Linked DNA regions of Cricetulus griseus. The protein of the gene in region 3 interacts with the protein of the main gene of each other region in a pairwise test. Links are inferred from orthologs where the notes say so. Each region holds a gene or a part of one and is shown on either strand. Other genes may lie near its edges.

The links. The genes of interacting proteins can lie anywhere in the genome.
Region 1: the proteins of Trim27 (region 3) and doublesex- and mab-3-related transcription factor 3 interact in binary tests that used the Homo sapiens proteins (3 or more experiments, as listed by UniProt). The two-hybrid records come from large-scale screens. The link is inferred for Cricetulus griseus from reciprocal best matches to the Homo sapiens genes TRIM27 and DMRT3.
Region 2: the proteins of Trim27 (region 3) and Scnm1 interact in binary tests that used the Homo sapiens proteins (3 or more experiments, as listed by UniProt). The two-hybrid records come from large-scale screens. The link is inferred for Cricetulus griseus from reciprocal best matches to the Homo sapiens genes TRIM27 and SCNM1.

Annotation. Positions count from the first base shown.
Region 1 is NC_048596.1:35,690,677-35,694,702, forward strand, and holds the start of doublesex- and mab-3-related transcription factor 3, read right to left. Parts: upstream 2,801-4,026; coding exon 2,338-2,800; intron 1-2,337. UniProt on the Homo sapiens protein: Probable transcription factor that plays a role in configuring the spinal circuits controlling stride in vertebrates.
Region 2 is NW_023276806.1:61,367,208-61,371,377, forward strand, and holds the start of Scnm1 (sodium channel modifier 1), read left to right. Parts: upstream 1-1,370; 5' UTR 1,371-1,486; coding exon 1,487-1,537; intron 1,538-1,922; coding exon 1,923-1,993; intron 1,994-2,232; coding exon 2,233-2,321; intron 2,322-2,418; coding exon 2,419-2,513; intron 2,514-2,613; coding exon 2,614-2,702; intron 2,703-4,048; coding exon 4,049-4,170. Other genes in the region: Lysmd1 (lysM and putative peptidoglycan-binding domain-containing protein 1), read right to left, coding at 390-585, 1,137-1,249. UniProt on the Homo sapiens protein: As a component of the minor spliceosome, involved in the splicing of U12-type introns in pre-mRNAs. Plays a role in the regulation of primary cilia length and Hedgehog signaling.
Region 3 is NC_048596.1:243,532,132-243,535,631, forward strand, and holds part of Trim27 (zinc finger protein RFP), read left to right. Parts: intron 1-616; coding exon 617-847; intron 848-3,500. UniProt on the Homo sapiens protein: E3 ubiquitin-protein ligase that mediates ubiquitination of various substrates and thereby plays a role in diffent processes including proliferation, innate immunity, apoptosis, immune response or autophagy.

The DNA of each region.
Region 1 (4,026 bases), about 210 Mb from region 3:
CTACCTCTAAAAATGCATGGCATGTCACACACAAATACTCTGCACAAAAGTACGGGAACACAGCAACAGGCGGTCTTAGCCAGGAGTTTTAATTTGACTGCCCCATTTTAATGTTACTTTAATTAATTTTAGTGTTGGCTCCCGACAGAGTTGCTTTTTATATGTGTTGCATAGAACCAGCCCACTTATTTATTTGTGTTTGTAGTGGAAAATTATAATCAGTTTATAAACCTCTCCCAAGCTTTTTTTCTTAAGGGACTGCAATTGATAAACGAAAACAAAAGTTAGTGAATGTTCAAGGTACATAGTTGTGGCCAGCTGGGAACTGAACCCTTGGTCCCTCACAGCTTAGTCTCTGGAAGTCATTCTTCTACCTTTTCCCCCTCCCAATTAATTGTTCTCAATTTGGAAGGCTCCAGCTATCCCTGAGTATTTGGTGGAAGCAGAGGGAGAGAAAACAAGCCCCAAGTCTGGTTTGTGCAGTTGAAATTCTTTGCCCCCTTTTATTCTCCTAAAGCTTGAACCCCGCTGTTGCTTCAGCTTGGCCCCCTAGTGCCTTTGCCCAATTCTTTCTCAGCTTGTTTTAGGTTTTGTGACTATACATTTTGGAGACCAATCTGAGGAGGACCATACGATGCTGAAGGAACCCCTCTTGAACAAAGACCATGGAACTCAAGGTTCCTGCACTACAGGAGGCACTGGTGGGCAGATGGGCATTGCAAAATGCAGAATTGAATTGTAACTCATCCTTCTGCTCTACCCTGGAAGACTCTAGTCCTAGAGCCAGGGAAACTGGAATGGAAAATTAAAAGATAGTAGCATGGAGTCACTTCTAGAACTGAGGTCAAACTCTCCTACTTGTTCTCACCTGAAGGAATCCTTCTAGACTCTCCAAGGCAAATCCACAAATAAGAGGCGATGAGGGGGCGGTGCTACAGAGAAATGCTTATATTCCCCTTATAGTTAAATATCCACAAAACCCGGTCAGCAACCTGCTTTCCGAACTTCAGGCCTAAATACCCTAACTGAGCCAGAAGGCGGGACTGGCCTACCATTTCACCACACATCAGGGAGTGTATATCTTCAGCAGTTGAGCTCAGCACTCTGGGGCTCTAGAAAACCTTTCTGAAGAAGATCTAGCTGTCTTTGAGGAGCTGAGGAAGTGGTAGCAGCAGCTCTATCAACAGAAAAACTGTGGGCCTTTCACTTTTAATTTCAGTACACCGGTTCAGAGGAGATGGGCTTGTTGCCTTTGTACGTTTACCCAGTGAGGGGAAACACCAGACTCAAGTCCACTGAATTCCCACTGCTGAGAGGGGCACGCAGAGAAGCCAGCGGTTCCCTTCTGAGGAAAGTGGGGAAGAGGCTTAAACTGGGGGCAGCCAGACTCAGGAAGGAGCCAGGGTGACAGAATTAGGTAGAAACTGGGGTCTGCGTACTTTCAGGGCTCAGACCACCACCACCACCACCACGCCCCAAATAAAAGCATTTCTGAGAGTAAAAGAGAACAGAGGGAAGCAAGAAGGCCCAAAAAGCTTTCCCTTGTTTCACAGCAGGCCGAGCCTGCCTAAACCTGGAAAAGTACTTGTTAAGTTTTCCCCAAGGTAGGCCAAGTTTTATTTTTAATTTCTTCAAATCACAGCAACTTGGGGAAAGGAATTAAAGGACCAAAGAGGTAATTCAACAAAAAGAGTTAGCTGGTCTCGCTTTGACGACTTCAGGAACCTTTTATCTACAGTTTCTACAGTTCTTAAAAGGCGACTTTTTTTCTTTTTCTTTTTGTTTTTTTTGTTTGTTTGTTTGTTTTTTTACCGAATTTTAAGTCAAGTCTTCAACCCAGCTACAATGTCCGAGCTCCTTTAAGTTAAAGATGTCGCCTTTTTGCTCCCGTGTCCCGGGCCAAGCCAAGATTCACCTAGAAACAGCAAAGCACTTGGGCCCTAACTGCTAACCCTCACCTATTTATCCCTACCCCTAAATGAGAGCCCCCCTAAAACCCGCCTCATCATGGTGCATTTAAAAGCGGTCCCTCCCCAGATTTCGTTTTACAAATAGTTTGTAGAATTGACGTTAAGTTTCCCCTTCAGCCCAGAGAAGGCACCAGGAGACAGGGACATACAGCCTGGATATTTGGCCGGCTCCTGGGTTCCACCTGCATCGGGTTCAGACTCTGTAAGAGACTCACTTTTCCCGGAGAGTAAGAGTCAGTGTCTGCTGGGGATGTAGGCCCAATCAGGTCAACTTCCTACAAACGTGCCCTCGCCTTCCAAACGGATCCCCAAGGGCACTCGAAGTTTCCTCCTTCGAGGCTGACCCCAGCCTAGCAGACGCTCTCACCTGGCTTGGCGAGCTGCGCGGGCAGCGTTCCGGGCTGGGGCTCCGCGGTGGTCCAGCGCAGCGCGGCAGCTGCAGCCAACTCGGCGGCGGGACGAGGCGGCGCCGGCGGCTGGGACGGCTGGGAGGCTGGCGACGACTGCGAGGCGGCGGCAGCGGCGTCCCCCGGCGGCGGGGGCCCCGGCAGAGCCCGCAGCGAGTCCGGGATGAGGCTCTCCAGGCTCTCGTTGGCCTGTTGCCGGCGAAGGGCCACCTGAGCCGCCATCACCCGCTGCCGCTCGATGATCAGGATGCATTTCTCGCAGGTGCAGTCCTTGAAGCGACAGTAGCGCTTGTGGCCCTTGAGCCAGGACAGCACCCCGTGGTTCCGGCAGCGCGCGCACTTAGGCGTGCGCTGCAGGGGCGCCCGCGGTGGCTGCGACACCGGGCCGCCCATGTACAGGTAGGGGGAGCCGTAGCCGTTCATGCCCGGGGCTCCCCCCGGCCGGCGGCAGGAGCAGGGAGGCAGTAGCTGGACCGCAGAGCTGGGAGGCCTGCTCCCGGGGGTCTCGGAAGATCGGCGGCAGCCGGAGGTACCGCAGCGGTCTCCCCGGCCCCGGAGGCGCTCGCAGCCTGAACCGCCTGGCTGGTGGCACGCGGGCCGCGTCTCTGTCTGCTGCCCCTGAGGGCGCAAGCTCCACCCGCTGGTCCTCCTTAGCCCAGACTCTCCAGCCGCTGCAAGGAGCCGGTGAGAGCTCTGATTAAGGTCTGAGCCAGCTCCTCTGCTGTTCCCTTCCTCTCTGGCAGGAGCCCGCACCTCCTCCGTCGCCCTCCCCCACCCTGTCCCTCCTCCCTCCCATCGCCACCCCCACCCCCGGGGTCCCAGCCTCCAAACACTCCCCACACACTCTTTCCTCCTCCCTAGCACCCCTCGGGTTCCTGCACCTCACCTTCTTCGCCACCTGCAGCCAACCGGGCCTCTCTGGCGGGGGCGCTCACAGCCCCCCTCCTCCATGCCCACCACTACCCTTTCCCGAGGCGGGAGGGACTGAGCCGCAGCGGCACACCCGGCTTGCTGGACGGGGGAGGGGTTGGGGGGGGGATAGCGGGAGGGGTGGGTACTTGTAAGCAGGCAGGCAGGCCTCTCCGCTACCGACTCACCGAGCTCCAGGCCTGGTCTGGAAGCACGGAGTCCTAGACCCACACTTGGCCTCAGCAATTCGGAGCTTGCAAGGGAATTGAGGGTGCACGGCAGGTCGGCCCCAGGCGGACCAGGTTTCAAGTACCCGACAAGAGGAGTGAGAGGAGTAGTGATGGTTCGGAAATTTGGGGGACTCTTTTCTTCATTTCGTTTTGCAATCTGGTTTCTCTTTCGTTGCTGCAGAAGAAAATTAATTTTTAAAAAAATCTGTCAAGCTTAAGGAAGACAACTCGTTTGATTGGGTAATTTTAATTTCCTACCACCTCATTCTGTCTTTAAAATAAACAACCACCTCTGCCCTAAAAGACCTCTGCCTTGGAAGGCCTGGAAGTGCTCTCTCGGATGTTTCCCTTAAACATGGTTTAACTTTCCGGGAGCGGAGGTAGAAGACACATTAGTGGCCCCCAAGTTACCCAGCATGATCTACTTGTTCCCGCAACGGTCACTGAATCAACAACCAAGCTCCGGAATTGCCCAGTTCAAATCCCCACAGGCACTGTGATTTATTTTCG
Region 2 (4,170 bases), on a different chromosome or scaffold from region 3:
TGGTTATCCGTCTTACGTCTCACGGTGAGTCTCACGGTGAGTCTCACGGTGAGTCTCACGGTGAGTCTCACGGTGAGTCTCACGGTGAGTCTCACGGTGATAGGGGCACAAGATCCAAATAGGTTAATGGCTATAAACCACACCCCAACCACCACCCTATCCCGGCATCCAACCCAATCCAAGGAGCTGCTCCTCCCACTGGGATAGTAGGGCAGGTCTGTGAGTGTGGATAGTGCTACCCTGAGAGGTGTAAACAAAATAAGACAAAGCAGAGACCACAATATAATTAATATAACATCAGGGAAGGCCGCTTAGCAGACCACCCAGTTTCTCCTGGGCACTAAATCTCTCCTGAATGGTCACCACACCACAATCCTTGGAAGACTCACCGTCACCCCGTATTTGAGTGCTAGTCCAGCCAGGGTGTCTCCAGGCTCCAACTGATGCTCCAAGCGTCTTTCCCTCACCGGGGAGCACGATGATTGTACCAGGCTTCCATAAGAACGAGCACGGCTCCCATGCAGCAGCCCTGACCCCCCAAGTGGGGGCTGTCTAGAGGGAGAAGCCATCTCAAGATGCCAAGATCTAGGGTCACAACTGAGGAAAGCTAAGTGACCAACAGTGAGGGCCGAACCCCAGGAATGGATAGATATTCTAGGAATTCCTTCTCACTTCTCTCTTTAGTGTCCCCGCTCTCGAGAGACTACATCAATGCTCCTCTTGCTGCTGCTTACCGAGCTTGGGGTCACAGTCCGTACCCTAAGAAGGCTGCCAGGCCGGTTACATTTCTCCTTCCTCAAGACCCTTGCCCATAAATATCTTCCCTGAGTGGTCGGTCGCCGACCCCTTCGACTTTCGACGCCCTCTCCCCAACTCCTTGCAAGCCTGATCTCTGACCTTTGAACCCTAGACACCCTCATCAACACTCTCCCCTCAGTGTGTCCCCACGTCCCGCAGCCGGGCCGCCGGGAGCCCCCACATCCTCTCTGCTCCAAATCAGGCCCACCCCAGGTAGATCGTGGCTGTGGACGGTGAGCCTGGGGACTGAGAGAGTTTGCAGTACACGGTCCACTGAGATCCCCGAAGCCTCGCTCCACGCCAGGAGGGTCCCACCCTGAAACTCCGGCTCCACGTACAGGTTCTTGGTCTCCAAACACCTGGGTCCTTCGCGATGTGAGTGCCTGTACTCAGGTGAGCGGTGAGGTCTTTTAAAAACAACAAAAAAAAGAAAATAACTAAAAGACTTCATTTCCCAAAAGGCAAAGCGTTCTCAGGGCATCATAGGAAATGCAGGCACCCTCAGGGCTCTGGAGGCGGGTCTTCCGGCTCGCGCGGTGCATGCGTGGAAACGCATCCCCGGAAGTAAAGACTTAATCAGAAAAAGACCGGAAGCAGGGAAGGCGATAACCTACTCTTCCTACGGTGGCCCGAAGGAGAGGCAAAGTAGGCGTAGGAGAATTTATTATTTCTAAGACTCACAGTCGTGATGTCTTTCAAGAGGGAAGGTGACGACTGGAGTCAGCTCAATGTGCTCAAAGTAAGCCCTAGTGAGAGTCTACCCACGAGCAGTGGTGGCGCACGCTTTGAATCCCAGCACTTGCGAGGCAAAAGCCGGTGTGTCCGTGTTGCGTTTGAGGTTCGAGGCCAGCCTGGTCCACACAGCCAGCTCTAGAACAGTCAAGGCTACACGAAGAAACCCTGTCTCGAAAAATCAAAGAACTAGAGAGAGGGAGAGCCCAGCTTCAGTCGCGCTTTGCATTGTTTTGTTGCTCTGGCGACATCTGTGGGAGGGGGTTTCGGGGGCCAGAACTGAGTGATGCCTCCTCCTTCTTACCCTATGGTCTGCTCCATTTGACTCTTTATCCCTGTTATTTCTTTTCATCCATCCCTCATATTCGTTTCTCCTGTCCTGCTCTCTGCAGAAACGAAGAGTTGGAGACTTGCTGGCCAGTTACATCCCAGAGGATGAGGCGCTAATGCTGCGGGATGGACGGTGAGAGCAGAGTGGATCAAGCCTGGGGATTTGCTATCAGAGGCTCAACAGACTTTGGTTTCTAAGGAGATCAGGAGTGTAATAGATCCTTTGGTTGGAAGTGAAGATTGGAAGAGGTGGCGATCGGGAGACCTGGGCGTTGGTGGAGTGCTTTGACAGGCATAGCCCCTAAGTAGGAACACCCCAACCACCGGCTCTCCAACACATACGGGTTTGCCATTCACTTCTCTTTTCCCTAGCTTTGCTTGCGCTATCTGCCCCCATCGACCAGTCCTGGACACGCTGGCCATGCTGACTGCCCACCGTGCAGGCAAGAAGCACCTATCCAGTAAGTACAGGAGAAGGCGGGGAGTGGAGGAATGATAGAGAATACACTCTGAACATTTTGTCAGTCTACTTGATGTTGTGCTTGCTTTCCTTTTCAGGTTTGAAGCTCTTCTATGGCAAAAAGCAATCAGGCAAGAAAACAGAGCAAAAACCAAGACAGCAAAATGAATTGAAGACAGAAAGCAAAGCCGAGGTGAGAGATCTGGTCAGGTGTTGTTCAGGCAGGGCTGTACTGCATGCAACAGGACTTTTGCCTAACATCTCCAACTGTGTCTTCTTCTCTTGATAACCAGGCACCTTTGCTAACCCAGACTCGATTAATCACCCAGAGTGCTCTGCACAGAGCTCCTCACTATAGCAGTTGCTGCCGGAGGAAGCACAGGTCTGTAGAGGGGGAAATCCGGAAGTGGGAAAGGGTAGAAGGAAATAGATGGTTCTGAAGTTACTGCTCTCCAAACTGTACTCTGAGAAACACTAATCTTGTGGAGATGTTGTTTAAAGAAAAATGATAGTTTGTGGTTTGTTTTGTTTTTGTTTTTTGTTTTGGTTTTTCAAGACAAGAGTTTCTCTCTGTAGCTTTGGAGCCTATCCTGGCACTTGCTCTGGTGACCAGGCTGGCCTCGAACTCACAGAGATCCCCCTGCCTCTGCCTCCTGAGTACTGCAATTAAAGGCGTGGGACACCATCGCCTGGTGATAGTTTGTGATTTTAAAATAAATTTTAGCCGGGTGTTGGTGGCTCACACTTTAATCCCAGCACTCCGGAGACAAGGCAAGTAGATCTCTGATCTATAGAGTGAGTTCCAGGACAGCCAAGTCTACACCAAACAAACAAAAACCCTGCCTTGAAAAACAAAATAATGCACACACACACAAAAAAATAGTAACATTATTGCTGGATGGTGGCACACGCCTTTAATCCTGGCACTCCAGAAGCAAGGCCAGTGGGTCTCTGAGTTCCAGGCCAGCCGGGGCTACAGAGGAAAAAAAAAAAAAAGTAACATAATCTGGGCATAGTGGTACACTTTTTTGTTTGTTATTGAGAGGGGATCTCCCTTTGTAGCCCTGGCTGTCCTGGAACCCTGCTATTTAGACCAGGGTGGCCTCAAACTTACAGAGATCTGCCTTTCTCTGCCCCTTAAGTGCTGCAGGTACTAAAAGTGTGTACCACCATACCTGGTTATGGAAAATCTTGAGGCAAAAGCGTAGAACTATTAAGCTGGCTTTTCTCAAGTTCCTAATTCCAAAATCTTTCATATGTAAAATATTTAAGATCTTATGGAACTCAAGCTGGGTGTGGTGGTATACACTTTTAATCCCAGTACTTAGGAGGCAGAGGCAAGTGGATCTCTGTAAATTTAAGGACAGCCTCATCTACCTAGTAAATTCCAGGTCCATCATATGTACTCTATCTCCAAAAAAGCAAACAAAAAAACCTCAGGAACTAGCCAGGCAGTGGTGGCTCACGCCTTTAGTCCCAGCACTCTGGGAGGCAGAGGTAGGCAGATCTCTGTGAGTTCTAAACCAGCCTGATCTACAAGAGCTAGTTCCAACAGCCTCCAAAGCCACAGAGAAACCTTGTCTCAAAAAACCGAGGAAAAGAAAAAAAAAAAAAACAAAAAACTCAGGAACTCAGTTTAGGAAACACTGCTCTTCAGGCTTGGGAGGCACGGGGAAGCTGCTACTTTCCTTCTGTGCATTTAACAGGCTTGGTTTCTTTTCTCCCCAGACCAGAGGCTCCTGCTCCCTCTGTCTCCAGTTCTCCTTTGCCTGCCCCAGAGGTTGGACTCCAGAGTGCAAAGATCAGTAGGGAACCTGAGACTAAGGCAGGATCACATGCCAAAGAGTCAT
Region 3 (3,500 bases):
AAGAGGACACCTTCCTCAATGCCAAACCCATAAGTACCCCCCAAAATCATAGGGCATGTATCACATAAAGGGACCGAGTAAACAAGTCTAGAAAAGTGTGCTTGATCGTTTCAGATCACCCCATGGGGCACACACCTAACCTTGCCACTTCTGTATGGCTGTGTTTCATGATTCAGTCTGCCAGACAAGGTTTAATCTGATCTCATCCCTTATGGGCTCCAAGCATTTAGAATCATGTGTCTTCTGTCCCTGTTTTATTGTCTGTGCCATTTGCTCAGCTTAGCCCATCTAGTTCATACTTGCATGGCATTCTACAAGATCCTGTGTGAACATGGATTAGCTTCCCCCACTGTCTTTACCCATCATGACAGTGTCTTGTGAACCTAACTCTCACTTGACCAAATCCTTAAGGTCAAAGACTACTTCTTAATTACCATTGGAGTAATTCAGTTCATGGTCATTGTGCATCTGGTGAATAAAAACTAGAAAAAGAGTGTAGGTATCTGTTTTAGTATGAGATGAAATGATGAGGTCTTGGGGTTAAGTCATTGGGAATACTTTGAAGAGTTCTAGAAGTGATCCTTTCCTGTTCAGTACCTTTGCTTGTCATGTACAGAGCCTGACCCAGATGGAGAGGGAAAAAATTGTTTGGGAGTTTGAGCAGCTGTATCACTCCTTAAAGGAACATGAATATCGCTTGTTAGCTCGCCTTGAGGAGCTAGACTTGGCCATCTACAACAGTATCAACGGTGCCATCACTCAGTTCTCCTGCAACATCTCTCACCTCAGTGGCCTGATTGCCCAACTGGAAGAGAAGCAGCAGCAGCCCACCAGGGAACTCTTACAGGTAACCAGGAGAACTCTACAGGCAGCTTGGTGGGCACAGCAGGACAAGGCAGCTTTTGCTGTTGACAGGCAGGGTTCATGATTCCTTTATCCTTTATAACTTCTGAAGTGTTGGGCATTTTGGAAAGAAAACCTGTATACTAGAAGTTGTGACTGACAACTCAGTCCTTCAGTTGCATTGTATCATGGAAAGGGCAAAAGAAAAACCTAGTCTTTGGGCCTGTGCTGCCCTAAGTGGTTAGGGCCTCATAGATTTCATTTGCTCAGTATAGATTATAATAAAGTATTTGGACCACATATCATTCAAGATCCTTTCATTATCTTGGTTTTTTTTTTTTTTTTTTTTTTTTGGTTTTTCAAGACAGGGTTTCTCTGTGTAGCTTTGGAGCCTATCCTGGCACTCACTCTGGAGACCAGGCTGGCCTCGAACTTACATACAAAGATCCGCCTGCCTCTGTCTCCAGAGTGCTGGGATTAAAGGCGTACGCCACCAACGCCAGCTTATCTTGTAATTTTAATATATGTATGTCTATACTACCACAGCCAGAAGACATGGAGACAGGTACAGTTAACCTAAACATTGCTGTAATTTTCCTGTTTTAATATAGCTGAGAAAAGACAATGTACTCATAGGACAAGACCACAGTAGATGATCTACTTACTGCCTGCCTTCTTGTCTTATCTTCCATTGTTGAGGGCACTGGAATTAAGTGCTAGATAAATAAGCTTTCCTTAATTATGTTTTAGTTTGAAGTTTATATAGTAAGTAAATGGTTATCACATGATAATAAGTGCCATTTTAAAAGAGTCATGGGATAGTACAATTGTGAGCAGATTATGGCCTGTCTTGTTTTTGTTGGTGCTTAGAATTAAGTAGCTTTTTATATTTTAAGATGTTTGGGAAACATAAGAATGTTTTTCATCATAGGCAAAAATGTATATTGAGATGAGATGTCCATAAGTTTTTATTAGACATAGCCGTGCTCATTCATATATTTATATATATATATATTATCATTCATCACTGCTTTCCTATTACATCAGCAGTACTGAGTATTTGTGTAGATTATAAAACCTAAACTGTTTACCATCTAACTCTTCAAGAAAAAGTTTACTAACATGTTTTAGCACAGTAAGGGAAGACAACTTAAGCCTTGATGAATGTCACTTTTTTATTGCTAGAGAGAGAAGAGATAGTTTGAAAAGGAGACTACTAACCTGTGAGGCAGAATGACCAGGACAGTGGAAGTAGATGACAGTCTGGGTGTAGGTGATGCCCAGCAGTATCAGAGCTTTTTAAATGAATGTTGGGAGTTGAAAAGTGACCAGGTGGGGTGAGTAGAAACTCAGAGTAGAGACTATTTGAAGGATGGTGGTGGAGAAGATTCCTAGAGACAAGGAGAAGTCTGTGCCTTTGTCTGGAGGGACTGCTTGAAGAAACTAAACATATTTAAAGTGTGAGGAGGGTGCCTGTGGTAAGGATGGGGTGAGAGAGAGGACACATGGACACTGTCTGAAATGATGGGACATCAGAAGTATACACTACTAAGAACATTGTTGGGAAAGCATCTGCTCTCTGAGGCAGGGTAGGATCGTTTGGTCAATAACAAATTGATAATGACTGATGATAGGTAGGTGTGGATATGTGATAGTGAGGGCATGCATGTGCCATGCATGATACACGTGTGTGGACGTCATAGGATAACTGTGTAGAATCAGTCCTCTCCTTCCACCTTTATGTGGGCCCTAGGGCTTGAACTCAGGTCATCTGGCTTGCAAGGCTGGTGCTCTTACCCATTGACCCCCAGTGACTATTTATTGGATTGTTCTGCCCTTTGTGGGTGATGTTGGTTGCTTTGCCTTCTCGGGTCTTCACTGCTCCTGTGTAAGCACTGAGAAACAGAATTGGGCCTGTTTGGGTTGGGTTTTTTTTTTTTTTTTTTTTTTTTTCTTTTGCATGGAAAACACAAATTTCTCCATTTCACAAGGTCATTTCTGTAATACAAAAATAGCATTTTAAAATAGTGAGTTCGGTGACCAGCTTTCTATTTAGATCTAGAATACATTTATCATCCCCCCCCCCAAAAGAAAGCCCATTAAGTAGTCCTTTTCATTCCATTCTACCTCTAGTCCCTGTATCTGGGTTTTTACATTTTGGGTATTCAGTAAAATCATACAATATGTGACTTTTTAATTTTGGCTTCTTTTACTCAGCATAAATTTTTCAATATTCATCCACATTATGGAATTAATTAATACCTTATTTCTTTTTGTAGCTTAATGATATTCCATTGTATGTCCTACTCTTTTTTTTTTTTTTTTTTTTTTTTTTATTATGGAACTTAGATTCACCTGCCTCTGCCTCCTGAGTGCTGGGATTCAAGGCATGTGTGCCCATCTTCTATTTGTTTGTTTGTTTACTTGTTTATTTGTTTGATGTTCATTGGTTCATTGGTGTTTTGCCTGCGTATATGTCAGTGAGGGTGACAGGGAACTGGAGTTACAGACAGGTGTGAGCTGTCATGTGGGTGCTGGGAATTGAACATGGGTCTATGGAAGAGCAGCCAAGGCTCTTAACCACTGAGCCATCTCTTCAGCTCCCCCCCCCCATCCATTTTTTTTTTTTTTTTTTTTTTTTTTTTTTTTTTTTTTTT